Mytilus edulis: one gene and its partner. The protein of the gene in region 2 interacts with the protein of the main gene of each other region in a pairwise test. Links are inferred from orthologs where the notes say so. Each region holds a gene or a part of one and is shown on either strand. Other genes may lie near its edges.

Region 1 (16,707 bases), on a different chromosome or scaffold from region 2:
ACATTTACAATTATAAACCAGATGCTCCGCAGGGCGTAGCTTTATACGACCGCAGAGGTTGAACCCTGAACGGTTGGGGCAAGTATGGACACAACATTCAAGCTGGATTCAGCTCTAAATTTGGATTGTGATTAAATAGTTGACACAGCATAGGTTTCTGACACAGAATGAATGTGTTCTAATGAACTTAAAATTTTTGTTTTCTCTTAGAGCAATTCACTATTCTGTTGAATATTAATCCTCTCAAAAAAATGTTTGAAGAAATTTTCTTTTTTATTTATGAAATTTCAAATGAGAAAAATTGAACCCAATTTTTTTAATCACATCCCCCTTTCCCTTATTCCAAAACTAATCTCAATTAAAATTTCTAATGGAGTTTGCAACAATAACTACTCATTTAAATACATCATAAAATATTAAGATGTAAAAAAACTGCTTGTTATCACTGAATGGTAAAGATTATTTTAATTTATCAGTTGGTAGTAAAAAGTGAATATACATTGTATATTGTATATAACAAAGATTTAAGTTGATTCTGGACAAAGAAAGATAACTCCAATTAAAAAAAAATCTTGCTATTGCACAATATTTTGCAATTAGATATTTCTTGCTTACTATTCTGGACAAAGAAAGATAACTCTAATTAAAAAAAAATTTGCTATTTCACAATATTGTGCAATTAGATATTTCTTGCCATTGCGCAATACTGTGCAATTGAAAAGACTTGCTATTGCACAATACTTAATATAATAATTTTAGATCCTGATTTGGACCAACTTGAAAACTGGGCCCATAATAAAAAATCTAAGTACATTTTTGGATTCAGCATATCAAAGAACCCCAAGATTTCAATTTTTGTTAAAATCAGACTAAGTTTAATTTTGGACCCTTTGGACTTTAGTGTAGACCAATTTGAAAAAAGGACCAAAAATGAAGAATCTACATACACAGTTAGATTTGGTATATCAAAGAACCCCATTTATTCAATTTTTGATGAAATCAAACAAAGTTTAATTTTGGACCCCGATTTGGACCAACTTGAAAACTGGGCCAATAATCAAGAATCTAAGTACATTTTTAGATTCAGCATATCAAAGAACCTAACTGATTCATTTTTTGTCAAAATCAAACTAAGTTTAATTTTGAACCCTTTGGACCTTAATGTAGACCAATTTGAAAACGGGACCAAAAGTTAAGAATCTACATACACAGTCATGACAGTTAGATTTGGCATATCAAAGAACCCCAATTATTCAATTTTGATGAAATCAAACAAAGTTTAATTTTGGACCCTTTGGGCCCCTTATTCTGTTGGGACCAAAACTCCCAAAATCAATACCAACCTTCCTTTTATGGTCATAAACCTTGTGTTTAAATTTCATAGATTTCTATCAGGCCTGGGGCCATTACATTGCAATGTAATGCATTACATTACAATTACTTTGTGATTCTTCCATTACAATTACAATTACAATTACATTTTTTCTCACATGTAATGCATTACATTACAATTACTTTGCCTGTGTAATGCATTACATTACACATTACTTTTTCAATATAAAAACTAAAGACATTTCAAAAAACAGATTTTTATAAGAATTTGATAAATATTACAGGGGTATATGTAGATATATATACAGTGTTAGTGACATAGACTTCAAATACTGGTTAATTAATATGTCCATTGAACTTTATTATCATAAGAGGTTCAAAAGTGATGTCATTAAGAAAACAGCGATCAGCTCTGTACACCTTTCTGGCAATACTAAAAAGCCTTTCTACAGCACCTGATGTGTGTGAAATGGCTAAATACTTGATAGCTGTATTAGCCAAAAAAGAAAGGCACACTGAATTGACTTCCATCATTCCAGTGCATTGATTGAAATTTCTTCACATGGCTCAGACAAGTAGATGTCAACATCATGTACTGCACCATACCTGTGTCTATACTCTTTGATGGAGTAGTAGGAGGCATGAAACTGGAAAAGTCACTTTTAAGATTCTTAGGTGGTGGTAAAAAATAAATAAATTATCATATCATTTTGTTTCTTACATTGATCACTTAATCATTAAGACATCATTAAGGGATTTCAAAGGAAGATAATAAATGTGTCATTAGAGGATTATCTTTTGAAATGCTTAAGGGCTCTGTGAGGACAAACATAAGTTGAGAAGATTTGATTGCAATAAAAACATTTTGATATTAATTAGGTGAAATAACAACACAGACAGGACCCAAACCACAGTTTGGTTTAAAAATGTTGTTTGACATATTCAATATTCAATTAAGATTTTTCATTGAACACCAAACCACCAAACACCAAAATATTCCTAATATCATTTTAAACAAATATCAGAAACCAAAATCAAGACTTGATAATTTTTACCATTTTATATTTATTACCTTAATGTGTGTTTTAAAGATTGGTGTAATTTATTTAATACAGTAATTAACTGTGACAAAAATTTTATTCCATACTTTCTTTTGTTTTTGTTAATATTTTATTTTTATTATACAATATTCTTCAATTTTATGTATTTTACCAATTTGTAATGAAAAGTAATGTACTGTAATGGAGGCATTACATCAATTTTTAACTAAAGTAATCATTACATTACATGTAATTGTAATGCAGAAAATGTGCATTACAAATTACTTTGCATTACATCCAAAAAAAGTAATATTACACAGGGGTTTATCTGGGTATTTTGGGAAAAAGGACCCTGGCCAGTTTTGGGAATTTTTTAGCGCAGTTTTCAATGAAATTGGGAAAAACAACCAATATACCAGATGTTAGTTTTAGTGTGTTTAGTTAATTAAATTTGTTTTTAAATATAACAACATGGCATTAAAGTTTATTTGAGTATCAAAATAATGAGTTCTAACTTTTTAAAGGATTGTTATTTTTTTTTATTTTGACATGAAAATTTGTGAACTAAAATATTTTCAGTTCTGTATAAAATATATCCTGTTTCTATTTTCTTTTATATATATCTTTTACTTTTCAATTTTAGTGTTGCTATGATAGCTGTCACATGTTTGGTTCTTTTCATTTTTTATTAACTGTATTTGATTGACAAACCCTGAATTATATACTTGTTCGTTTCCGGATTTGATCTGGTTTTAGTATTTTCCCACACTTCCTGTTTATTCATGGCAGCCATTGTTTGTCAAATGTTGTTTGTCATTCAATATGTTTCAACTTGGATTTACACATTACTTGTTGACGATTTTTGACATAAAGCTAGCTGTTGAATAAAATAAACATCTCTGTCATGAATAATAAAGATGAAAATAAATTTTGTGATAATTTGGGAATTTTACTCCCAAAATTGGGAAAAATGTAGGGTTTTTGCCGTTGGGAATGGGTCCGAAAACCGGACCCTGTGGAATGCTAGAAAAATCCATGTTACAATGCATTACAATTACAAATTACCATTACCCCAGGCCTGATTTCTATTTACTTAAACTAAAGTTATTGTGCGAAAACCAAGAATAATGCTTATTTGGGCCCTTTTTTGGCCCCTAATTCCTAAACTGTTGAAACCAAAACTCCCAAAATCAATCCCAACCGTTCTTTTGTGGTCATAAACCTTGTGTCAAAATTTCATAGATTTCTATTAACTTAAACTAAAGTTATAGTGCGAAAACCAAGAAAATGCTTATTTGGGCCCTAATTCCTAAAATGTTGGGACCAAAACTCCCAAAATCAATACCAACCTTCCTTTTGTGGTCATAAACCTTGTGTTAAAATTTCATAGATTTCCATTCACTTTTACTAAAGTTAGAGTGCGAAAACTAAAAGTATTCGGACGACGACGCCGACGCCAACGTGATAGCAATATACGACGAAAAATTTTTCAAATTTTGCGGTCGTATAAAAACAAGTTATTTTTCATGTTCGTGGAAAACATAAAGAATCTTTCTGATGTCAAAATATTGATTTTACCAGAGTTACCTCCCATTTGTAACTAATACATTTTCTATCACACTTTTACACAATGAATATGTGTAATGAAATAATGCTCAGTTCTGTTGATAATGTTAATCTAAGATCTTAGATTGATAAGGAATATATTTAGTTTGATTTGTCAGCATGAATTTCTGCTGAGTCCTATTTTTGTTATTTTGTTATGCAAAAATAAATTGTGTAAATAAATATGACTTATTTACCATAACTCGCTTCAACAAATATGACCAATACAATAATAAAAATATAAAATATTCATACTTAGTCTTTAAAAATAGTTACAATGTTGGTAATAAAGATTTTTTTGTGTGCATTCATTTTTATCATTTATATGCATTCATTATTGCATTTTTGTGCAATCTATTATATTGCCATTTCTAGTGCATTCATTATTGCCCTTTTTGAACAACAACAAATGAGATCAATTTCATGAAATGCTGCATACAAATAATGATTTCACAATTTATAATGCAAGTTTTCTTTTTGCAATTTTTGGCAATGATTTTAAAAAACATTGCAAAATCTTGATATAAGTCACTGTCAGTAGATAACTTAAAGGGGAGATAACTATTGATATAACTTGCTTACAGGTTCTACTTCCTTTAACATATTGATAGCAATCTTTCTAGCCTCAGATACAGGAAGATCTTGCTGCATGTATAACTGTACTTGAATTTTCAGCATCATTTGTAAGAAAGCTGGATATGTCTTAGCTCTTGGACTAACTGTTGGTGAAACATCTACTACAATTAAACTATCTACTCTCTCTGGCTGAAAATTATTATAAAGAAATCTATTAAAACATTGCTGAACAAAACTATAATGTGTAACAGTAAGAAATACAAGTACCAAAAGTTCAAATAACAATGTAATTTAAACTATATATATAAATTAATTTTGAACTGACAAACCCATTTTGACTGAAACTAATCTGCAAAGACTAAAATAAATATATGTCAAGTTCAGTTTCAAATGTATCCACTGTGGAAAGCATTGTTCATATACTTTCCTTGTCATCAATTGAGATATTTCTACAGTGGTCTTTACTCTTGTGCAAAAACAGTGCATTTGGATCACAAGTTTTCACAACATTATATTTAGATTATATCTGAAAAATATATTAAGCTCATAAAAAAACATTTTTTTTTTCTATATTCAAACAATTCACAGTTCAAAAATGTTTTCCATTTTTTTGTAAACACCCAATAAATTAGAGTGTTTTTTCTGCATTCATGTAAGCTACAAATGTATCTAAATTTATGTTTTTAAATAATCTTCTTAAAGGGGTAATATATGTACTTACATGTTGTAAAGCTGTGACCATAGACATTTTTCCACCCATACTGTGTCCCAGTAAACAAGCCTTGTCTATTGACAATTCATCTAATAGGTTAATAATATCCTCACTCATTAAAAAATAGTCCATACTTTGAGTGTGTGGACTTTCCCCATGGTTCCTGACATCAACTGTTATTACCTATTGTAAAAATACAATAAATGTACCATCATAAATGTCACAAAAAGTATACACTGGATTCATTATAATTTGTTGATTACTAATATCTGTTGATTTTGTCGGACCATAAATTTGAATGTTCAACAAATTACAATTTTTCCTAATTATGCTTGTATACAGATTTTGGAAAAAACACAATATAAATTATCCAGAAAAATGCTAGTTTTTCCTCAATCATTGAAAATTGGTATCCACGAAAATAAATCAATACACAGTATGATCCAAATATAGAAATTTGTCAGTAATTATATACAGTATAATACTGTTGTTTCATTTCCATTCTTGGGGCCTCAATGGCCAAGTTGTCTAAGTACTGGTAGTTAGAACCCCGTTTGTGCAGTCACTTTTGACTCCAATCTTATTGACTAGGATGTCAGTTATCCTATCAAAGGTCAAGGTTTTCTCAGGGCACTCTGGCTTCCTCCATCCATAAAAACTGACTGCCACAAAATAGCCAAAAAGTGGCGTTAAAACACCAACAATCATTATTATTCTTAGAATACCAATCTTCAATGAAGTACATGGTTTCTTAAGGTTTGATTACAGCTTTGGTAAATCCACATCAAATTTTACGAAAAATTTGCCTTCTTCAATTCTCAAAAATAGGTTAACATAAAAATTAAAGGTGTTTTAACTTTAGATATCTTAATGTTTTTTTGTGTCTTTGTAATTTGTCTGATGGATGTATGGTTTCTCAGCTTACATGTCACAACTAAACTCAATATACATGATATATATGTAGTATGGTTGCCAATGAGATAAATATTACCCAGTGACCAATGGACATGAATTTTAAGGCAACTTCTTTGCTTGTTAGACTGTATACCTGTCTTCCCTTTTTACTCCACAGTTTTGATAAAGAATGCCAGTTATCTTTGTTTCCCATAAGACCATGTGTAATAACTACAGGGGGACCAGAACTGCCAGGCTCTTGATAATTTCTGTATGACAAACATACTCCCTGACCTGAAAAACTGCAATGAAAACTAAAATGTATCATATATTATAAATAATTTCATAATTTAATGATAAGCATACCTGCCAGCTTTTCAGAATGCCCACGGGGGGTTTTACATGCAAGAGGACTCTTGTAGTCCCAAAAAACCTTCAAGGGGGCCTTCAAATGCATTTAAATGTTGTTTTTTGGCTTCTTCATACTTTTAATAGCCTATTGCATTTATAAAAATTAACTGTTTTATTTAACATTTGATCAAGATTGTTGACAAAATTGCTCTTTCAAAATTTCCATATCGGAGCTTTCATGGGGGAAATCCCCCGTAAATAGTGACAGTTGGCAGGTATGGATAAGACATTTCTATACCATACTAAAATGTCCTTTGCTCTCTATAAACATGAGAAATGAGAAATTAAATAGTCAAAATAATGTTAAGTCCAATAACTCTGATTATAATTATCAAATTAACTGATTAATAATGGTACAATGCTCATTGAACAGGGGCGGATGCAGGAATTTTCGAAAGGGGGGGTGCTAACCCAGGGCAAAGGGGGGGTGCAAAACATATGTCCCGATACAAATGCATTGATCGGCAAAAATAAAGGGGGGGTGCGCACCCCCGGAACCCCCCCTCTGGATCCGCCACTGATTGAAAACCATATCCAGTATGACAGATACCAAATGGTTTCAGAAGAGTAATTTGCTTTCCCAAAAAATGTCTCTAAAAGTAGTCAAACTTACAAAGTACAATTGCTCTTGTTAAATTGATGGAATCAAGATAAAGATTTATCAAAGTCACCTACATATGATGGAAAATAATGCAATAAAGTATCAAAGTTTTCTGGTAAAACAACCTTAGAAAAAATGTGTTTACAAGGTGAGTTATTGTTTTGAAATATTTTTCCCTTTTGGTAATAAACCTCTAACAGATGAACAGATAATCCTGTCAACGTATACATGTATTTGTTCCACCTAACAGAAGTTCCAATGGAAACTTTGTTATAAACAATGTCATAATATCTGTTCCTGTTGGAACAAATATTCTATATACCATTTATTCCGTTGGTAACATTTACTGTAATATTTATTCCAGTGGAAATAATATTCCAGAATATTGTTTCCATTTGGAACTTATATTATGAAAGAACTTCTATTCCGTCAAATGTTGTACTAATGAACTCAAAATCGTTTAATTTTTTTTTGTCGCGTTTTTTAATTTCCGGAACTGCGCAGAACACATAACTCTACTTCCTTCTTCTGGTCTTGTTGTCTTGAGACTTTGATTAGTCTAGTAACATATAGGAACTCAAGGAACATAATACCAATATTTCATTTTTAATCATTCTTCAACTTTGGTATGAATAAATGTTACCTGATGCATTGCGTTTCTTTGTTTACATTGAACATGACGTCATAACTTAAATAACGTCACAAGTAAAATCCCTAACAACAGAACCAAAATCGGAAACGTTACGGTATTTCTGTTTCTTTTTTTTAACAAATATATTTATAAAAAATAATTTAAACAAACTTTGTCCCCATTCACAGGTAATGCCTGCCTCATATTACATACAGACTTCGTCCTCATTTCACAGGTTATGCCTGCCTCATATTGAATCCTAGTGAATATAAATTTGGCCTCATTAAAGAAAAAACAACTCAATAACTGTTCTGCTAAGCCTTAAACCTTATCGAAGCCTTATGTCATTCACAAAAATTGAAATTTTTAAATTTGCCAGGTTTGTTTCAGGGATTACATCAGACATAAGTTTAGTCATGTCACAGTCAATGTCATATCTAAAAATGGTGAAACTGCAGCTGTTTATGAGTTACAATCTTTTGAGTTTACCTGGGTTTTTGAGTTGACTTGTGTCTTATAGCGAAATAAAACAGGCTTGATGGTTTACAAATTGACCTCCGAAAAGCCATTAAATTTGAAATTAACCTGGTGTTGTTAAAGTGTCATTAAATGTGGAAATGACATCTAAAAAGCTGTCTGCTATTTTTAATGTCTGCGTCAATTTAGTGCTTGAAAATAAATCGGTGAACACCAAATGATAAGCACATTGAAGATTATGATGCACATGGCGCAGGCGCATAACTATGCATACGCCTCATTTCCGGATACAAAATCCCTTACTTCCGACTTTAAAATCACTTGACACTGAGCCTTCAGTCCGTATTTAAACAATTACAGGGCTATGGCTCGAGAATATGACCATTTATTCAAGCTCCTTATCATTGGTGACAGTGGTAAGAACCCGAAATATCCATTTATTAATTTTCTGGTGAAGTAGGTGCACGATTTTTGCTGAAGTCATTGATTGTTGTCAAAGTTGAAAGTTGTTGGCGACAGCTTGTATGACATAATTTTAATGTTTTCAGAAACTGGGCCATAACGAAAACTGTTTATTGGGGAAAGACGGCTTCAAGCCGTCAATCCCCTATGGGGTTGACCAGAGTGACATTCCCTCACATCATTCATTTTGTTTTTATAGTGTGGAAAACCCCCCAACAAATCTTACTTAGATTGAAGAGAAGGAGACCCAGAAATGAATAGTTTGACTTTAAACACTTTTTTACACATTTCCCTTCTGTTTCTCACGAAATTATCGTATTTTGAGCTCTCCTTTCCACTATTTACGTTTCTTTTACAATCCGGAAAAATCAGTATGACGAGATATTCTAAATATATCCAACATACATTGTATTTAATAGTGACGTCATTCTTGGAATGCCACACTACGCAGAATCAGGGATATCCTTCACTGGTTATTTATATCATTCTCAGAGATCGTGCACTAATTAGAAATTGGTATTTGTTAAATCTAAACATAATAATGTCTGCTGTAGATGATTCAAACATTAACATGCAATACTTTAATTTGTAGGTCACCAGCTTTCAAAGTAAACAAAGATCGTGGGGTTACATGAGATAGGGGAGAGAAACGATTTTATTATTTTTTTTCTGTAAAAGTTCTGTTTTGAGAATCTTCCTCCAATTCAGGAGCACCTCAATTGATAAGTAATATTATCCACTAAAATAAAAGTTAATGTATTTAAATACTTAAAATGTGACATTTCATTGGATTAGTAGTCTTCCATTATAACTAAATTTTTGTGTACCAACACAATCATTGTAATGGGGGAAAAAAAAGAAAAAAAAAATTGCATTTTGTAGTTTAAACCTATTTATTCATGAAATTCACAAATATTTCAAATTTAGGATGTGGAAACAAGCTTCACACAGTTTACATCAATCATATTGGTGTTTTTTTTTATCAGTACCTGATGAGAGTTGTAACTGGGAACTCCTACAATCAATGGAAATTTAAAACTGAATAGATTTTTCAGTCCACACTTTCTCAAGAAAAAACTTTAAAATCCAAGAGTACTGTCACAAAAAATGGAAAATGGCCCTAGCCTGCAGTTCATTGGTACACAATCAAGATTTAAAAAAATATTGTAGTTGTTGTGAAATGACAGAATTCAGTTGAATTTTAGATAATTAACTATCAACTTAAATCAAATGTTTAGATTTAGAAGATGCAGATCTCTTCCATTGGTTCTAATTGAATCCTAAACTAAGGAAATGAAATTACATAAACAACAGTTAATTTCAATATTGTCAACCTTTCTACATGTTCTAGCTGTTCTCTTTTTCATTCTTTATATGAAGACTATCAAAAGATACCCCCCCCCCTTCCTTCCAAAAAAAATAATTAAATAGAAACAAGGGCCGTCTTTCCCCTCAGAGCTATTCAGCTCTTTGATTTTTAAAGTTATGAGTGACGTTTTGCATGTTGTCCCAAAATTTTAACAGTCAATCTGCTGTCACAAACCTGTAAACAACATCACAGCTGCAGCCACATAAAAGCTGAACTTCATTAAAAGAAATTTAAAGGTTACAGTTTTAAAAAAAGCATACATAGCACTAGTAAGACCAAAGCTAGAATAGCTGGGACCCACATACCAAATCACAAACACACCAACTTGAGATGGTCCAGCACAGAGCAGCAAGGTACATGTACACATGCAACTGATACCATTACACCAGCTCAGTCACTGAAATGCTGCAAACACTAAATTGGGCAACTCTTGAGAAAAGGCGAATAAAAACTTGCATCATCTTCTACAAAATCATACATCATATTGTAGCCATATACGCGACAGATATACTCACACAATCTGATACAAGTACAAGACAACTTTAGTCTTTAGTAAGTGTCCCAAATGACACTGTAAACACTTGTGTACGTTTCCTCTTTTGTAGTTTCTTCACATATGTAATGTTCACTCATGTACTTAATTGAAATTGTGGCTGCTGTTAAAAAATTTTGACTTAATTTTGATATAGATTTATAGTGTTTTTTGCTGTATAGTGTTTTTGAATCTACCAGACTCCGTTAAATAATTTTCCAGATGGCACAATATCTCATTTCGATTGTCTCTATTAATGTCTTCTTCATCGATTCCTAATAAGGTGTCTAAATCCATTTGTATATTTCCTGTAATAAAGTAAATAGATGTTCTCATCCTCTCTCTAGCCTCCTCATAGTTAGAACAATGTAAAAGGTAGTGTTCTACAGTTTCTGGCTCTCCACAGGAACAGTTTTTGTCTGATGATGGTATGATTTTGGATTTATAATCATTTAAATCACAATAACCTGTTCTCAAACTAGTAGTAATTGAAAACGACCATTTGGATGGTAAATCTTTTGGTATTTTCTGACAGACTTTTTGATGATAGTTGTAATAATTTCTGCCACGTTGACTTGATTCCCATTGGTTCTGCCATTTTCTTAAAACACTTTCTCTTGCTGCACGTTTTATATCCTGCCTGGTTACTTCTGATGGTTCTTCTATTTTTTCAGCTTCTTTAGCTCCTTTTTTGGCCAGTGAATCAGCAATGTCATTTCCTTGGATATCAGCATGACCAGGTGTCCATTCAAAATTTAATGGAATTCCATTCATCTTTAATACTTTCATGTTTTTCTTAATTTCTCTTATGACTTTGGTGTAATTCTCTGATTTCCAGTTTAAAGTTAAAATTCCAATTGAGGTCTGACTATCTGAAAAAAGTGTAATTGAGGCTGTGTTTTGTCTGTTTTCTGATATTAAAAAGTGGTCAACAACAAGTTTAATGGCGATCAGTTCTCCCAGTAGTATTTATTCTTTCAGACCCATACAAACTACTTAAGACTCATACCATACTCATGTCATACTTTGACACTAGTATGTGAGTGATTCTAGATACATGTACATAATATACAATGGTTGCTGATTTTTTTAACAATTCAAAATGATTTGTACTGAATAATGAATTACATAATTTTGTTGTCATTTCAGGTGTAGGAAAAAGCAGCTTATTGTTACGGTTTTCAGATAATACATTTGCTGGTAAGTACTGGATCAAAATTAGATTTAAATAGTGAAATGAAAGGTTATAAACATGATTTAATATGATGTCCTTCTTTCGCTTTGGAAACAAAGCCATGTTCTAATTTCAATAAAACATGGGCTGCACATGATTGACCTCGCAATGGAAATTGCAACGTCAGTTGTATTTAGAACAACGCTGAAGATCCAACGTTGACATTTCTGTTGTTGTTGCTCTGCTCGCTAGTATATTAAATAAAATCATTTTAAAAGTAAGTTTAAATATATTGCTTTATTGTTTACAGTTAAACGAAAACAAAATTAGGTCTGGTTATAATGCTGATGACTGGAATTGAAAGCAGTCACACACAGTCATGATAAGGTTTTCTACTCAAGAAAATTCCTATGAATACAATCAGAAGAAAACAAAGAAATTTGTTTGAAATTTTTCTTCTTGATGGTGCCGGTGAAAAACTGTGGATTCATTATAATTCATAATTGGTTATCAATTTTCAAGGTTTTCATGTGAACAGGTGAACCATCAATTTAAATGTTTAACGAATTACAAATTTTCTATCAGGTTGTATGCAGACTTTCTCAAAACCATAAAATCACATATCCATGATGAAAAGGCCAATTTCCTTCAATCCACGAAAATTAATGAATCCACAGTATAGAAGATCAGTCTGTAGCATTTATTATTGTTATAATCATAAGATACCATAGAAATGTCATTGTATGATAATGATATAAATGTTTCAGGAACCTATATAACAACAATTGGTGTAGATTTTAAAATAAGAACAGTAGATGTTGCTGGTGAGAAAGTTAAATTACAGATCTGGGATACAGCAGGTCAAGAGAGATTCCGTACAATCACATCTACGTAAGTATAGCAACCCACCTACTGAAATTATACACACAAAAAAATATTACAGATCGAGAAAGGTTTCTATCATTTTATCAATGTCTAAGAAGTTCATCTTCTGCATTACTAAAGTGTCAACACTGAAGTTTGAGTTTGAACTCTGCATATGGCAAGTATGTTTGACTCAAAATTTAAACTCAATCTATAGCTTGTCTTGATAAAACAATACACCAAATATCAAATCAATATCTTCAAGCTTGAAGAAATGTGTGGAAAGCTTGAAGAAATTGATTTGAAAATTGATATATAGTTTAATCATGACAAGTTACAGATCAAGATCAAATTTTCTTCTGGTCATATCAGTGTTCTCCCCAGAAATTTTGGATAGCATCACATTTTGCGTAAAAAAAAATAACTGTATTTTTTTTAATGTTGTTTGTTGCGTCGCGTTGATGCTCTATTTCCTTTATATGTTTTAGTTTATATTATTCAATTCATAACTGAGAATACAATTAAACTATAACCACAAAAACAGTTGTTTCAGTTTATGTCTTCTTTATTCATTTATAGTTACAGAGTTATTTTTTTCCTCTTGTGCCAAATAAAAATAAATATGTGGTTTCAGTTACCCAACAATAAGTCAAATGAATGAATGGTTCATTACAGTGCAACCTGTATTTATACAAAACTAAATTATCTAGTACACAAAATTAACTACTTTTTATATTATATCAAGTAAAGATAAAGTAGCAAAAGAAGCAAAAAAAAATCAATTTAAAAACTTTTTTAGTGGAAAAAGACGTCAAGTCTTCTGAAGACTTAAGGGGCTGACCATTGGCATTGAGTCTCCGTATGCCGCATTCATTTCGTGTATTACAATTTCAAAACAACTTAGATTCCTGAAACCGATTTTTACACATGATTAGGCATCTGAATCATTTAATTTGTAAATTAAGATTGTTAAACAATCACTATCGTAAATATGACCCTTTTATTTATGTAAATTATTAGATTTCATCTCATCCACATGAACGTTATTTGTTTACTTGTAACAGGATGTTTTTACTGTAGATATTTGTATTACGCATGCGTGAATTTGGTATCGGGACAACTCGTCCTGTTTACAAGTTCGCCCTTGAAGTTACGAATTTGCAATCCTGCAGACAAGATGATTTTGTTTTTATATAAATAAAAAGGATATATAAAGTGTTGTCTTTATTCATGGTTTTCCTGTGTCATGTGAATAAGATGCCCTTCGTAACATACATGTGAACCTCCCGTTTAGGAGAAAAAACTCTTGTGTATGAAATTTTTCAGACGCCATATTTGATCATTTCTTACTACTGTACGGGTGTAATTGATACCTGTGTTAAATTTTACCTGAACATCAAAGAAGATGTATAATTATATGGCTTCACTTGACAGCTTGGGTGTCAAACATACTGGTAATCAACGATGTTTACCTCCGGCTAACTGCCGTTGTGTTATCAAAACGATGTGTAATGGGAATATTGAAATACTTTTTTGTTACTTCCCTTTGTTTTATCCTGTTTTCAGTTATTTTGCTCTTAAAAATGTAAATTGTAAAAAGACTATAAATGATTAATATTTTAATCAAATAATCATAAAAGGATGTTGATTAAATGAATTTAAATGATTTTGGACAAATAAAAAAATTAAAATTTATAAATTATTTTAGCAATCTAGACCTCCTTTCAATGATTAAATTGAAGTTTATATCATAAATTTGTTTATAACTGATTAGAAGTCAATATACAATATGTGCAACTAGACTAATAAAAGGTCTAGTAGTTAGATTAATTCCTAGTAAAATCTTGAAATTTAAATTTGTAAATGTTAGTATATTTTAGATTTCATTGTGAAAGCTAAGAAATAGCAAGACATTTTACACTGTTTTTAAGTCTTTTTAAGCTTTCTACAAATATGACTTTTATAATGCTTAAAATCCATGCAGTACTAGTGTTAGTGTATGTTATTTTTTTAATTAATTTACGATGTTGCAAATGTGGAGCTTATTTCTTTCTTATTTGTCTATACACTTACAAATGATAAGGATATGGAGACATGAACAAAAATATATACAGAAATAGATATATAAATATAATGATTCATTTGCAAGCAGTGAACAATCATTTGTCAAAAACAAAACAAAACAAAACAAAACAAGAAATAGATTCTTCTTATTATTTTATTTTATTCAAATAGAGAGGCAATAAGGGACTATAAACATTACAATTTGATGGAAATTTGAAGAAAAAACACAATTTCTACATCATTTGGTTACATTTACGACAAAATTTATGTCGATAAAAAACATGATGTTTTGACCATTCAGTACTTAATAGATGCATAGTTCTTGGGGAAAAGTTTCATCAAATAATATGAATATAAATGACTTTTTTTGTGCTCATTTTTTACAGTGGGTTGTGATGATCTTCCAGTTAGGTTACCCTCATTTGGAGTGTTGTTAAAGGTCCATCTTTGTGCATAATTCAAAATTGGAAATTTCAACAAGCATCTAATATTCTTAATCTGGAAAATAAACCCTGGTCTGCTAGCTTCATGTATATTTTTTCTACCTATTTAATATATAACTAGAATCATGCAAACAGACTTAAGGAAAAGGCATGTAAATTCATCATACAAATATGACACTTTTTCTAGACAATCCAGATCTTGCAAAATACGTCGCTAAAAATTGTAACCTTTAAAATTGTTGTTGTGCAGTAAAAACCCATATGGGAACTTTCAAAAGTTGGCAGGTATGTAACAAGTCTTACTATTTTTATGCTCCATTTATGGGCAATATGTTTTCTAGTCTGTCCGTCCGTCCTGCTTCTGGTTATAAAGTTTATGGTCGAGGTAGTTTTTGATGAAGTTGAAATCCAATCAACTTGAAACTTAGTACACATGTGTTCCTCTTGATATGATCTTCTTAATTACTGCCAAATTAAAGATTTTACCTAATTTTCATAGTCAACTGAACATAGAAAATGATTGTACGGATGGGAAATCCATGTACTTATGACCTTTTCTTGTTTGAAGAAAAAAAATACATTTTAACGATAATGGAACAAAGCAGCCTGGGTAAGTGGGGCTGCTTTTATGGTAATTCAAGTTACCTTTTATTCACCTTCTTCCACTTCAGAGCTATCAGCTCTTTGATTTTATCATGTTTATGAAATTCATGCCACTCAATGAATTAGTCCCAGTTGTTTCTTATCTTTACATCAAAATCATATGTATTTTTAACAAAGTTATCTAACAAATAGTCTGTTAATGCGTAGTTTTCTCTCTTGGTTTAATTTTTCTGTCTACTGTCCATCTGTTGTCATTATCGTGAAAATGCGGATTTTTGTCATATCTGGTCCGGTTCCGATCCGTAGTTTACACAAAAATGTGCAATGGCGGCCGTAGTAAAATTTACGAAAATGAGTCCGAGAATAAACATTGTTTGACAAGAGATTGTGAATGAATAAGACGCTTTTAATGCATTAAATGGATTAAACATAAACTTAAGCCAATTATGATAACTTTTTAAAGAAGTATTAAACTTATTTTAGCTCTAAACCAAAATTCTCGCTCTCGTATTACCGGAAGAGAAAGAAAGTAATTTTTGGAGAGTTGCACAAATAAAAGACCTTTTTAAAAAAAATAAAAATCGTTTCAATCTCTGAAATTTCGTAATACAAAACGTTGATTTCGATTTGTTTTGTGATTGCATTTTTCCATGTCGATATCGGTGATTGCAGACACGTGGTATTAGTCATGTCACAAGAGCTTAAATTGGGAAATTCGCATCCAAAGACTTTTACAGTTATCACCCTGAGGGCAATTAACAACTAGCTATATAATCTCTTAATTGCCTTCAGTGGCGGATGCAGGAATTTTCGAAAGGGGGGGGTGCTAGCCCAGGGCAAAGGGGGGGTGCAAACATATGTCCCGATTCAAATGCATTGATCGGCTAAAATAAAGGGGGGTGCTGACCCCCGGAACC
Region 2 (15,635 bases):
ATTCTACCACTGCATCGAGTGTGATACGATATTTATCCACTCGAGACAGTTAAATTTTCAAATTTAAAACGCGAGGCTCGCCGAGCATTTTAAATATTTAAAATTTAACTGTCAAGAGTGGATAACTATCGTATTACACGAGATTTGGTGGTGGAATCTGTTTCTCTAATGATTTTCAAACAAAAAGCAGTCAAACTTATTGCTTTGCGACTGATCTGCAAAAAGATGTGTTCTTTCTATGTGACGTAATCAGACATGGTCGCCTTTTTTCATGCTGTCACAATAGCGAATTCAGAGGAAAACAAGAATATTCGACGTCATAATCGGATTTTAACCAATGATGAACTGAGATCAAACGAACCACAGGTTGATTAAATTTGTTTATACAATGGGTGCAGGAAAGGATAAACTGATGAAGAATTAGAGAAAATCAATTTATCCATCTCATGAGCTACAAATGTATATAATATAGCTAATGAGATGCATAAATTGATTTTATGTCTGTCATGTCCGTCAGTTATAGGAAGTTCAGTTCCAATTAATAAAAGTCCTGAGAAAAGTGTAGTATTCAAAATCTGCATGATATATGTACATATTTGAATTGATGTTTTTTTTATTATTATTCTCATTATGCTGTATTATATAATCTGTTATTTTGTTTTCATTTTTGCCGTAAATTCCTTTGGGATATACATTTTGTAGTAGTGCATAATTTTCATTTAACTATTAAAAATATTGTTTTCTTAATCTCTGTTCTTTTCATGTATATTATCTTACTCTTTCTAACTTGGCCTCTAAATGTTCTATGTCTTGTTCAGCTGAATCTAGAGATGACCTGAAATAAAAATACTCTATCATTCTTCATGCTTTAAAATGTTATATCAATTAGACAAATAATAATATTATAGAAATACACTATAGTCTCCTTATCCATTATCTTGTTTTCAAAAAATACACTTCTGTATAAAGAAATAATAATATCTGACAGTGTTCTTACCCTTGTATACATGTACATGTATGTAAGTTACTGTATAGTTGAAATTTCAATTGACAGGAAATTTTCATTTCTTCAATTTCTACTGGTAATTGGGTAGTAATTATAACATACTGTTTTAATAGCACAAACAGTATGTAAGCTCACTGCTGAAGTTCTCACTAAAACTTGTAAGATAAGAACAGAAATATCTCCTTTCTTTATACTTTAATAATTATGGATATAATCTTTTGAGGAAGGCCATACTAAACATGAATGAAAAGACAGAGTATACTCCAAGCCACTTTAACTAACAGAATGTTTTTTCTCAAATTTACAGCTGATTCCATTGAGTGTGTAGGCAAAGCTAATATCTTTGGTTAGCTTGTTTGTTAGCTGAACCATGTAGTCATTATTAGGTTAAAGGTAAACTACCCTCCTTAAGAGGAGACTTAGTTCGACAGATAACCAATCTATCTGTCTGTAGGATTTGGCTAAATGGAATGGAGGGAAGTATACCCTTACCTAATAATAAATTCATTGATAAGCTAGCAAGCAAGCAAGCTAACTTAAGAAATAACCTTTGCCTTCACTCAATGGAATAGGCTGTAAAGGATTTTAACCTTTATGAAAGGAGTGCCAAGAAGAATGTGTAATGAGACTTTTCCGTCATAAAAAGAAATTCCCTTTTCTGAAAGTGCAAATGATTTCCAGAATCTATTTTTTTCCCTCTGTTAACTCACAATACAGTTATACAGTAAATGCAACAAATGGAGAAGTTGCAGTCTTCATCCTCATCCAAGTCTCTATAGGCCAATCAATAATTTTCTTCGTAAAATTAAGATTTGGATTTTATTTATATTCAAAGACTGAAGATCCATAATTATGGAAATTATATGGGGTCAAAGTTGAATTCTAGAAAATGATCAAAGTTCACTGCTTCTTCAGTTGTTTTTTTATGATTTATAGTGGTCATCAATACACCTTATCACTATTTGTCCGCTATTACTGGATATCACACAGGTAAAATTTTGACGTCATAAAACAAAATATGTGATGCCACAATGGAAAAGTAATTGTTGTTGACGTCAACAGTTCAAGCGGCCGGGTCAGCCTGGATTAGCGATAAGGTGTATTAATCTTAAGACAAAGTAGAAAGAAAATTCTGAGATAATTTTCACTGATTGGAATTGACCACCAATAGTAACAAACATCTGATTAACATGTGTTATTACAAATATTAATGTTTTACATGTGTACCCGTAGATTAACACAAGGAAGACAAACAAACCAGGATAAACCAAAGTAAGCCCTTGTTTTCAACACTTAATTATTAAATTCTAACACATCTGTATTTCTGAATGGAAAACAATTAGAAATCAAGATCTTAATCTTTAAACAAAAAAGTGCAGTGAGGGAATTATTCAAAATTATCTTTTTTCTTGTTATTTTTTAGAAATTAAAACTGAAGATATATTTCATGTAATGTTTATATTAACAGTTTTTTAAAACACTAAACAGCTCTTATTTTTAATCAAAATATGTTTGACAAGAAGCAAAAACATATATGTATATGGGAGTTAGGAGTTTTCACACCCTATACTGCAGCTACTGTAGAACATGTAGAAACTAAACTTAAGTTGAGTACTATGAACATAATTTAAATGCTTATTATTCCTCTATAGACTTTGACTTTGTTACAAATAATTAAAAGCACAGAAAAAACTGAAGCCATTATTTACTTTACACATATTGTATAACTAACAAATCAATGTTAAAATACACTTGACAACTCAAGAGAGAATTCTTCCTGTAATTACTCCTCCACTGATCTATCAAAAATAGATCTAAGATAAACCAGATTTTTAAACAACGATTTGCACCTGAAATTTCTTTTAGAAGCTGCCAGACTGTATATCAACAATACCTGGAGAATATTTACTACAAGCATGCATGTTATAATAGAAACAGATGGAGAGCTGTGAAGAACATGTTTCTAATAACTTGGCAAACTCACAATATTCTTTCATCCCATCTTCTGTTAATTACTATCTTTCAAAACTAAATTTTCAGGAAATTGTGAATTGTAATGCAAAATGAAACTTAAGGTATACAAAGTTTGTTAACATTTATTGGAGAGTGGTTTGAATGCCATTGAGATACATGTAGCTATCTACCATAGACCAAATAAAAGGGATGTAAATGACTAAAGGCTTCAACAATGAACAAACCCATTTATTGTATTCAATGTATTTCAGGCTATAAATGGGTCCGGCACGACAAATGAGAAACAATTTCAAAGAGAAAACCAACAGCCTAAATTTTGCAAAAAAACAAATAAGGTAGACAGCAACCAACTTCAACTATGGAATGTACTTTTTGTATCTGTGAATAGAGTTTGGAAATTTGATACATATATTTGTTTTAATTTCGTACCAGACAAAACATAAGGCTCTCAAGTACAGATACATATAAGGTTGTTCTTGTACAAATTGCACCATAAACACTTCTTCTTCTTTTAATATTTTACCTGAACTTAAACATTGATACTTTTCCAATATTTATCCAATTCATATTAGAACATTAATGAATATCCCTTTGCAATACAACTTTATATTTTTATCCAGCTACCGGTATAGTCATTAAAAAAATCACCGGTAAATAACCTATACATCATTAGAGAGCTTTGCTTTCATCATTTCAAATTCTAACGTAGATATTTAATCCCTCATAAGGATATTATTAAGTTGATTTATCTGTTTATTTCAAAAATAAGTATTGAAATGTGAAACAAAAGCTTAAGGCCTGTCATAATTGTGGGATATAAAATGTGCATAAAAATATACTCAATGTCTGTCATGTCTGTCCCACTATTTTCAGTTGCTTTCAACAAAATCATGTACATGTACTGTGAATTCATGACCATTCATGGAAAATACCTATTTTCATGGTTTTCACAGGTAAAGATGAACCAATTTAACTGTTCAACATAAAACAAATTTTGTATGGTGCAGACTTTGAAAAGCTTTTCTCCTGTTTTGTAGCGAGTACAAATTAATTTCATATTTCCAATTACATTGTATACATGTACATACATTGTTTTTATCTTGTAATTTACTCCTGGCAAATTTAGGTTTAGATGTTTAAATCCAAAAAGTTGTCTGATTTTTGAAAGAAATCAAAAGTTCAAATGTGAACATGGATAGTGGAGAGAACCCCAAAATTAACTGTTATCCCAGTAGAAATATTCACATTACAGTTTGCTCAACATGGAAGTGAATAACAGGAGACTTTTTTGTAAAGATATAAATAAAGCAAAAATTATTTGTGTACATGTTATTTGCATACAATAGTTGACTGATTGCTAGATAAATGGTTATATATATATAGTACATCCAAAGTACATGAATGTAGTCTGTATCTTTGAAAGGTTTCATGCTTATTCAACCCCTATCCTTTTCAACTAAGTTATATATTTTTCAAAATGAATGGAAAATATTTTTAGCTGTCACTATTGACCATTAACTTATTTATTTGTAATCCTGGCTTTAGTTGTAGCAATATAAATAGTTTATATGTATAGTATCTAACAGGATACGGCCCATACCAAACCATTTCCTCAACTTCCTATTTCACTTATACTACTCACTTTTTACATCTTTTGTTTACTGTTACATGTACAACTTCTTTTTTTAATAACCTATAACCTACCTTTTGTATTTGTTAAAATAACGATAAGCATGAATGGAAGTTATCTTAAAAAACACATAAATATACAATTTTGCGCCTGTCCCAAGTCAGGAGCCTCTGGCCTTTGTTAGTCTATGCATATGATAATTTAAATTTTAGTTTCTTGTGTATAATTCAGAGTTTAGTATGACGTCCATTATCACTGTACGAGTATACTTATTTTTTAAGGGGCAGGCTGAAGGACGCCTCCAGGTGCAGGAGTTTCTCGCTACATTTAAGACCCATTGGTGGCCTTCGGCTGTTGTCTGCTCTATGGTCGTGTTGTTGTCCCTTTGACACGTTCCCCATTTCCTTTCTCAATTTTATTTATACATGTATACATCATCTTTCTTCTAGGACTGATTCAAATATGTTTCTGAACCAATTATTTTTCTGGTATAGTTGACCTATAATGGTTTACTTTTATAAATTGTTATTTGGATGGAGAGTTGTCTCATTGGCATTCACACCAAATCTTCCTATTTCTATCTTTACCTTTCAGAATTTGCATAACATGTATAAGATTATATTTTAGCAGCATTTTTTGTATTTTATATAGAACAGGTTAGATTTATGAAGTTTTGAATATGACATGTATCCTTTACAAAGTGTCAAAGATATTCAATTTATACATGTAATTTACGATTTAGAGATTGAGAGGGGAAGGTACAAAAATCTGACAGTGTCAAAACGTATCTGAAAATTGTGTGGTACGAAATTCATTTTCTTCTTCAGTGCCACAAACTTTCAAATATTCGTCTTCAACTTTTTAAATGAAATTAATAAAACAACGGTCTAAAAATTTTAGTGGTTTAGATATTAAATCACCATGATCACAATTTATTTGGCTTACATGTATGTCTTCTGAAGATATTTTCATACTCCAGAAACTCGGAGAAATATTGGAAAATTTATCCTCATATAGGAAAGTTTCCTTAAATGGTATATAGATGTAGTAATGGGGGCTATGGGGCCCGGGCCCTCCCTTTCATGGGAAAAATCTGGTTGATTATATAGGAAATCACTGAAGCGTGACTGGAGTGGGCTCCCCTTAGGTCAGTCAGCGGGCCCCCACTTACAAAAAGTTCTGGATCCGCCACTGTTTGCTGTCATATTTTAAGAATCTGTTCAATTGTGATCCATGAAACCAAGGCCATTTTCTCTTAAATTGATTCCATAAATTTATACAAAAGTTAATTCTGATAATAAGTAAGCAGAGCAATTCAGGTTTTTCATTCCTCCCTTGATTATAACAATGCATAGATCTATACACATGATACATGTTTCTTGCTACATTGAAGACCCATTGGTGGCCTTAGGCTGTTGTCTGTTCTATGGTTGGGTTGTTGTCGCTTTGACACATTCCCCATTTGGGTTACCTTTCTCAATTTTATGTACATTGTAACTAATGCTAACTGCATTAAGGTACAAAAATGTATTCCAGACAATAGAACAATCCTTTCTATTATATAAGATAGTACATGTATACAACACTGAACCCAAAATTTAATGACACTTGACCTTTTGATGTCTTATAAAAAGATACAATAACAGTAATTTCCTGTAAACATTTAAACTAACTGACCTCAACAATTAATCACATTTCAGAATAATTGAAAGAAAAAAATTGAAAATAAATCAAATTAATGACCCAGTCCTATCAGGGTGTAGTGTTTTTGTGCTACAAAAGAATGTGGCAGGAGAAAATCACAAACTCATTATTTGAAGAAACACACATGAGATTAAATGATGGTGAATGACCATGATGACCCAAGTTGAAAAAAATAATTTTTGTGTTTTAATATCTACAGCTCATGATCATGAGCATGATGAGCTGCACTGTTTCTACTAATTGCAAACTTGTCATTATTTAACTACTGTGTAAAACAAAAATAGACCAACATAGTAAGCAACAACTAAGCTAAGGAGATAAGTACTTCGCCACAGCAGTCCGCACTATGAAAAATTTAACTACTAGAGTGAAGACCAATATTCTGACATTTTTCTTATTGGTCCAAACAAAGTTTTGCAAAAATTTACTAGTCCAAATGAAATTTTACTAGTCTGGCACATCGAACTAGTGGCTAACCCTGCAGACTAGTATTTTCTAGTGATCCCAGGTTTAGCCTTCCTTATTGGATATATAAGGTTATAAATATACATTTGTAGCATGTGAATAAAGAATGTCTACCCCCTCACTGTTGACATTTTGTATAAATTTATATTTATTAATAGAATTAAATATCAACTTTCTTGTCACTAAATTTGATTTCTTGTTGCTAAATAGTCTTCTTAACGCTACAGAGTCTTCTTGACGCTAAATTATTCTTCTTGTTGCTTATTAGTGAGATCGCTATTAATGTGATTAGTGATAGTCTTTCCTTCTGCCTCAATTTTCTCATGATTAAACAACAGCTGTGGTTGTGGCTTCATTGTTTTTTATTTCAGTTTTTTTTTAATAACTATACCTGTGAAGTGTTAAAAGAACAAACTTGTTTATTAAAACAGTTATTAAGGCCATAATAAATAATAGGTTTGTTTGCCCAAACGCTACCTACCCAGAAAAAAGTTGCCTACTCAAATTCTTTTATTGTCCTGATTTGAAGAAGGTTTTTTTAATCAAAAAGGCATGAAGACTAATAAACATCTGATACTTCAATTTCTTTTTTTGAAAAAAAGAAAATACCTACCTACCCTACCCACTGTCTCAACCTTTGGGTAGGGTTTGGGCAAACCAAAATATTTTTAAGTGTGGCCTAAATTTTATTTACATTTTGTAAAAAAAACAACTCATCAACACATCAGTCATAGAGTGTTTAGATGATTAAAATAAAATCATTTATACATTTTTAGAATTATTTATATATATATATTTTAATATGCAATATTATTGAATACCGAATAGACTTTAAATAGGTGCCTCAGTATTTGACTTTTTCTAGGGGTGCATTAATATTTTGACAAGGTGTCGATTTCACTTGTATCTATTCCAAATAATTATGACGTCTTGCAAGGCTATAATAAAAAAAAATCTGTGACCCCTTCCTACAACACTTGTACCCTGATAATTACTATTAATTTGTTTTCTGTGACGCCTTCCTACGACACTTGTACCCTGAAATTCTGAAGTACTGTAGCTAGTTGATACCTCAATAAATTGTCTTTACTAGAGCCTTATATTTTGGCCTGGTGCATTCTTAATAATTGTAAATAAACAAGGATTTGTATAAGAATAAGAATCCTTGCTATAAATGACTTGTGAAGTTAGTCACTGTTTTCACTTTCAACAAGACAACATGCTCAAGCTGATTATTAATTTTAGCCAGATTTTTACCTAAATACAGGAGAATCCTTCAGACATTCCTTGAAATCAACACTTGGTTTGGAAGGCATTTTGGTTACTGATTAAATTTCCGTTATATTGATCAGTTCGGGTGATTAGTCAATCATCTTCATCATTCAAGTTTACTCAACCACGAAATCCTCCTTCTAATTGCTTCCCCTTGGACGAAATAGTAAAGATGGCGCTGCTGAAAATAACAAAATGTCAATTTTTATTTTTATAATTTAACTGTGTGCTGGAAATTTAATTAGAACAAAACAAGTATCATGAAATTTATTTATTTTTCTTTTTTAATTTTTATAATATTTCCTACTTCCTGTGACCTTGCCCTACTTTCAACGTGCAGACTATCACCTGCAGACTTACAGTATTTGGGAGGAAAAGCTGCTTAAAATATGTAAGAATTAAGTTTGCAACTGTATTCTCTTAATTTCTATTAACTACAAGCTTCAAAAGATAATGTAACGACTTCGTATTGAGCTGTCAAACATGCTAAAACTGCGAAATTAGTTGACCTTGAATGACAAATACATGCAACCTTGCATTTTTCAGTGTCCTTGTCTCATCATTTCCTGTTCGAAGTTATTTGATTGTTAGGGTATATTTCTATCCATCTGACGTATAGTTGGTAAGTGCTGGCTATAACATTAAAATCACTCTGTCTGGAAAAATATGCATCCTCAAAGATCTAAATTCTAATCCTATCAAAAAAGAATTTTATGCAGTCATTATTGGGGGGGGCAGGACCTTTTTCGGGACGTCAGGATCCTGGATTTCTTTTAACGAATTTCAGGATGTCGGGATTTAATTTATAATTCAGAACCTCTGGATTTCATGTTTTTAAGCCCAGGATTTCGGGATCAGGACCCCTCCAACCCCCTTTCATTATTACATTAAAGAAAATCCTCAATCTCGAATTGTCCCATTGTGCAGTTTTCCTCGACGTATTTTCTTCTCTGTGCTTTAAATTTGGTATGCGCTGGTTAAGATTGGGATTGAGGAACAGCAGTATTAAATCTGCCCGTTCTGTCAATGTAATGTGCCACTGTTTGTAATTTGGCTTTTGTCTCTTCTGTGTTTTCGCCGTCCAGTCTCGTTAGCATTGTAGCTAAATTCAAGTTTCTGACCCCGACCTCTTTGGATATTTGGTGTAGCATATCTTCTCGTTCGTTTTCATAGCAGGGACACTCTAGAAGGAAATGTTGAGGCGTTTCAGGTGCTCCACAGTTACATGACTCTATGGCGTTGGTTTGGCCTACTCCGTTCTTGTAGTAATTCAGTTCTGTATAGCCAGTTCTTAGTTTGGCGAATATACTGAAATGTCTTTTAGTTGGGAAATCATACATAATTGAGTGTTTTGTAGTTGGTATTTTTTCATAAAGGTCCCTGCCTCTCTCAGATATTTCCCATCTTCTCTGCCATTTATTTCCTGATCTTTTGTACGCTGCTTGTTTGACGTCCTGTAGTGTTATGACGTTATTTTCCAGTGGTAATTCTTTTGCTTCCTCTGCCGCTGTTTTTGCAAGGATGTCAGCCTCATCATTACCAGCTATGTTGGCATGTCCTGGTGTCCATGATACAATTACATTGAGTCCTTTTTGCCTAAGATGTTCAATATTTTCTTTTATTTCTCTTATTACGGAGATGTAGCTGTTTGGGGCCCAGTTCAGTGTAAGTAATCCCACGGCGCTTTGACTGTCAGAGAAAATTTTGATTCTTTGTATTGCATTGTAAATGTTTTCTGTAATGCAGTATTCTAGGACCATGAGAATTGCTATGAGTTCCGCCAGAAGGATGGATCCTCTTTGTGCCACAGGTCTATGTAATCTGGCAGCAGGTTTAATGTGTTCAGCATAGATAATTGCACCTGCTCCACAGGGTCCTGAGTTCCACATAAGGAAGGAAAAACAGTCTTTTCAAAACTATGTACTTTGGAGATCATTGAAATTGTAATGACGAAAGTATTTTAACCTTGCCATACACTACATGTAAAATGTTGGTTTTATTGTCGCAAATGTGTCCTCCATTAAAATCACACACGCTAACTTTTGACATCACAATTTTAAAATTCTTTACTTCACAATTAAAAAATGATTTTTGCTTGATCATGATGTCAGAAGATTATAAAGCAAAATATCTGATGCCACAATGGAAAAGTGATTGTTGTATGCATCAAAAGTTCAAGCAGTCGGGTCAGCTGGGATTAGCGATATTATAATACAGTTTCAATTAACGATGTTATTGCTAAGAATATACCACAATAATCTGAAATTTCTGGAAATTGATAGGAGTCCAGCATCTAACCCTTTCACTGATAGCTGGCTACTATTTATACTCAAGTGTAGATCTTAATAATAAATGTCAATTAAAACTTGTCTGTAGTTATTTGTGTCTTTATTTCATCATGTTCATTCACTAACACCATGGCCAAGTTCGGATGGATATCTAGAGTAGATAGGATTGACATGGTTATATATAACACCTGTTATGATTGGATATAGCTTTCCCGCCATTAGAACTCAATGAGCCCTGGGTTGTGGCAGGGTTACTAGAGATCGACTCGATATCCCGGATGTTATGACGTCGATCCAATCAAATTTGAATGTAAACATATTCAGAGTAGGTGTCATACCACCAATTACTCCCTCAAATTTAGAACGTATGTGAAAGTAGGCCTACTCGGACAAAAAAAAGTGCATTTGATGTCATTGTTCACCTAAACGAACTAACAAATTTGCAGAAATGAAAGTTTTGTTGAAAGAGAAATATATTAAGACCATTTTGAGCCAAAATTTACCTGTCTATGAGTTTGCATTAAAAATTGAGGATTAATGCGCTCCATAGTATACTAATTTAAGATTTCCAGAAAACCAGGGGTTATTTTTAGTGGTACCTCCTTTCGGAAGCTCTCTGCTTTCTTATATGATTTTGAATGTATGTTGAAAATTGGCATGCAGAAAGGTGACACCTGTACAATTCATGATATACCTAGTTTCTATGAAGTTAAACTTAAGGTAAAATATTTAGAAAGCTGTGAAAATTGCAAAATTTGGTTGAACAGATAGGGACTTTTAATTGGTGGTATGACACCTTTAAGCAAAATGCGGTGAAACATCAAAATCAGAAAACAATTGTTTTTTTTTGTCTTAACTGATCATTTGAGATAATAGTAGCCACATTTCAATCTTTTTGGGGGCAAACTGTCACATATTGCAAATTTAGAGCCTAAAACTTGAGTTTGTCCTATTTTTAGCTTTTCCCATCCTGACAATAGGCTTTTATATAAAAAATGTCCTAAATAATGTTACAAATGCACAGAAAGTTATTCTGTGGTGTTAAACATTGAAACATAAGTTGTTTACTACCCCCAAAAAATTTTTGTCATGCAGATTTAATGAAATTATTTGATTTTTACCCCTTATAGCATTGCGTCATACTATGTACTTGGCAGATAGCATAGCCTAATGTAAGCACTGCAGAAACTCACAAAAGCACCATTTATTATTCCAAATGAAATTTTTATATCTTAAATTTTATTAACTGATGTTAATAAACACAGTTAAATGACCATGACTGCACTTTTGATCAATTTGTAGTACTTTACTGACACCAGATGAAAAAAAGGGGGGTCAATATTCCTTGACACTTCAATACCTTGGATTTTTTACTAAATTCATTGCAAAAATTGTTGGAAGTCTTTAAAGAAGTAGAACAAACAAGAAAAAATCAGCAAACAATGATCTTGATATTGAAAGTTTATGTTCCTGTAGCCCAAAATGAAATTTTCAAGTATTTTCTATCAAAGTCATACATTACAGTCAGTTTAAATTGAGCTGTGAAATTTTTATTATAAGTCGCATAATGCTCAGATACATGTAGGCTGTTTTTAACTACAAATTGACTAAGGATTAAGAATAAAGCAAAATAAAAGATTTCTAATCAACTTTTTTGTCTCTTTAGGTGTCATACCACCAATTACTCCCTCAAATTTAGAACGTATGTGAAAGTAGGCCTACTCGGACAAAAAAAAGTGCATTTGATGTCATTGTTCACCTAAACGAACTAACAAATTTGCAGAAATGAAAGTTTTGTTGAAAGAGAAATATATTAAGACCATTTTGAGCCAAAATTTACCTGTCTATGAGTTTGCATTAAAAATTGAGGATTAATGCGCTCCATAGTATACTAATTTAAGATTTCCAGAAAACCAGGGGTTATTTTTAGTGGTACCTCCTTTCGGAAGCTCTCTGCTTTCTTATATGATTTTGAATGTATGTTGAAAATTGGCATGCAGAAAGGTGACACCTGTACAATTCATGATATACCTAGTTTCTATGAAGTTAAACTTAAGGTAAAATATTTAGAAAGCTGTGAAAATTGCAAAATTTGGTTGAACAGATAGGGACTTTTAATTGGTGGTATGACACCAGTAGGGGCCTTGTATTTCCGGTAATCTAGAGTCCTTACTCTTCAAAATTATTTACTGTTTATATGGAACTAGAGACCGTACTCGAGTTCCATCCAACTTGGCCCATGTTTACAGTTTTGTTCATGTTTTGATAATTTTTATGCAACCCGAAAAAAATTTGGGGGATCGCATAATGGTATGATGTCGTGGTCGTCGTCGTCAGAAGACACATTGGTTTCCGGATAATAACTTTAGTTTAAGTGAATAGATCTTTATGAAATTTTTTCAGAAGGTTCAATACCACAAAAGGAAGGTTGGTATCGATTTTGGGGATGATGGTCCCAAAACAAGCATTTTTCTAGTTTCAGGATAATAACTTGTGCACAAGTATTTCAATTGCTCTGAAATTATACGGCAATGTTTAAAACCACAAGTAGAAGGTTTGGATCCATTTTAGGGGTTATTGGGCCAAAGTTTAGGAATTTAAGGGCCAAAAAGGGTCCAAAACAAGCATTTTTCCATTTTCCAGACAATAACTTGTGTGTAATTGTATGGATCTCTCTGAAATTGTACCACAATGTACCATATAACAAAGAGGAGGCTTGGATTAAGTTAAAAATGTAGGAATTAGGGGCCAAAAAGAAGCATGTTTCTAGTTTCCTAACAATCATGTCCATGACAATAAGTTGTGTTTAAGTGTATGGATCTCTCTAAAATTCTACTACAAGGTTCAATACTTCAAAGGAAAGCATGGGATTGAGTTTAAGGGTTATTGCTCCAAGGGGGGGGGTTTACCATTTTTTTAGGGATTCCTTTTTTTTCACAATTTTTCAAATTTCGAATTCTGAAAAGTTTCAAGAAGAAATTTTTAATTGCACAGTATTGTGCAATAGATTTGTTAAATCTTTGACCACATTAATTTTGTGACAAAAACCTATATTATGTCAAAAATTTGATCACAATCCAAATTCAGACAGTATTAAGCATGAATATTGTGACCAAATTTGCCCCAACTGTTTAGGGTTCAACCACTGGGGTGGTATAAAGCTGCGCCCTGCAGAGCACCTCTTTTTTTTTCATAAAATATTCAAATTTTTGGCATTATCTAGGTGAAATTCTAAAAATTCTGCTCTTTGACCCCAAATCGTAATTTTTTAACCCAAAACAGAAAAATTTGAAAAATTTAATGAGTAGGCTGTACAAATTCCTTTACACTGAACGATGTCCATTCCAAGTGAAACAACATTTTATGTAAAAAAAGTATACTAGTTTGGCTTTAATTATTCCATATAATATTCTTTCAAATATTTTTTTCCCTCATTTCAAATTCTCGTAAATTTCGTAAATTTCCTCTGATTTTGACACGGTTTTTAACAAACGGACGTGCCATGTTTACACTTTCATCCGGGTATTCATCAAAGAAAGATAACTCGTGTTTGCACTGTTTTGAGTGGGAAATATAAAAGAGGTTTTCTGATCCCGTTAAAACAGGACTCATTGGCGAAAGTGTTAAGCAAGACTATGTTGGCTTTATGAACACGTCAAATGATTAAAAGGATTTATGTGACAGTGGCGGATCTAGAATTTTGCATAAGTGGGGCCTATTAACTGCATAAGAGGGGACCCACTCCAGTCATGCTTCAGTGATTCCCTATATAATCAACCAATTTTTTTCCACAAAAGGGGGGGCTAGGCCTCCTGAAAAAAAACTTATATCTGCCTCTATGTCATTATTATGGAAGAAATCAACTACTTAAAAATATTGTTATAGGCTGGTAGACCTTAGAATTTACTTACTCAAAATTTATTATGTTGACTCAATCAAAATTGTGATTACAAATTAACTAATAGAAAAGTGGTTATACATACATGTTCATGTATAAAATGTACCTTAAACCAGTGAATTTTACAGAACTGCCAGCTTCCCAATTCGTGGGATATTTACCCCCATTAATATTTGAGCCGAAAGGTGTTGACTCCTGCAGTACTCAACAAAATAGCATAAATTTCTACAAACAGGAATTCTAGAGTTAAATGACATTTTAGAAATGTAAAATTTTTATTGTCAGTGTTTTAAGTTATGGAAATTGTTTTTACTTTAGAAGTATCAAATTACAGGCTAATATATATCAAACTCTAACATACAGTATAGGGCCCCAGAGAGTAAAAGGCCAAATTATATATATCTAGTAGATACTTGGCTTGAGTTTGTTTCCCTTGTGCAACATAGTGGAGAGCAAATTCATTGAGATTTGTATTTGACAAAGCAAACTAAATCATGTTGTACGAGCAGGTACGTATGTAGGTCGAAGTTTATTGTGTAGAAATGATTTCATGTGCAATCCACAAGTAGTGCTACATGTACCCTATGAGTATGATGAGATGGTAAATAAAAAAAATGTGTATTTCAAGCTTTAACTGCTTCAGGTTTGCCTAGATACAAAAAATAAAGTAGATCAAAGGCTTTGCAAATTTCTGAATTAAAAACTCTAACCAAAAAAGACATATATATATCAAGAGCAAAAGATATATGAATAAAACAAATACAACATGAAAAGACACAAAACTGAAAGTTTATTTTTTTTGTAGAGCACCATGCCAGTAACAGCTGTGAAAGCACGTCAGATTTTTGACAGTCGTGGAAATCCAACAGTTGAAGTAGATTTAAACACAGAAAAAGGTCAGTTTGAAATCATAGTTATGATAGTCCAAAATTGGATTGAATATTGTTTACATGTAGAATGTTTCAATTTATAGATAAAAAAATGAATGAATAAAAATTGTTTTGAGCAAATACCATGAATACAGTATTTAAATTCCCATTGAAGTAATTATAAATGGTAATGTTAAAGAATAAGTAAGATAGTTTTTAAAATATAGTTTGATAGTCATTTAATGATACTGCAAAAAAACAACACATAAGGACAAGAAAAGCTTTTATATAAAGGTCTGTTTATAAGTATTGTAATGTTCTGTGTATTATATAGGTCAATTTAGGGCAGCTGTACCCAGTGGAGCATCAACTGGTATTTATGAAGCTTTAGAACTGAGAGATAAAGATCCCAAGGCATATCATGGAAAAGGTAAGTTAAAACTCAACTGTCCTGAAAAGTCAGATTTATGTAGAAACCTTATAGTTTTAAAAAATAGAGGGTCGAAGATAACAATAAATTATTATAAAC

What was found.
Region 1: the proteins of arf-GAP with coiled-coil, ANK repeat and PH domain-containing protein 2-like (region 2) and ras-related protein Rab-35-like interact in a two-hybrid assay, tested with the Caenorhabditis elegans proteins (2 studies listed by BioGRID). The link is inferred for Mytilus edulis from reciprocal best matches to the Caenorhabditis elegans genes cnt-1 and rab-35.

The regions. Positions count from the first base shown.
Region 1 is NC_092349.1:6,755,787-6,772,493, forward strand, and holds the start of ras-related protein Rab-35-like, read left to right. Parts: upstream 1-8,562; 5' UTR 8,563-8,643; coding exon 8,644-8,695; intron 8,696-11,791; coding exon 11,792-11,842; intron 11,843-12,583; coding exon 12,584-12,707; intron 12,708-16,707. Other genes in the region: sn-1-specific diacylglycerol lipase ABHD11-like, read right to left, coding at 4,560-4,742, 5,275-5,448, 6,314-6,461, 8,292-8,371.
Region 2 is NC_092356.1:71,613,042-71,628,676, reverse strand, and holds the start of arf-GAP with coiled-coil, ANK repeat and PH domain-containing protein 2-like, read right to left. Parts: upstream 8,206-15,635; 5' UTR 8,096-8,205; coding exon 8,037-8,095; intron 836-8,036; coding exon 778-835; intron 1-777. Other genes in the region: uncharacterized protein, read right to left, coding at 9,029-9,940; enolase-like, read left to right, coding at 15,049-15,133, 15,441-15,536. UniProt on the Caenorhabditis elegans protein: GTPase-activating protein for the ADP ribosylation factor family. Regulates endosome recycling downstream of rab-10 and upstream of arf-6.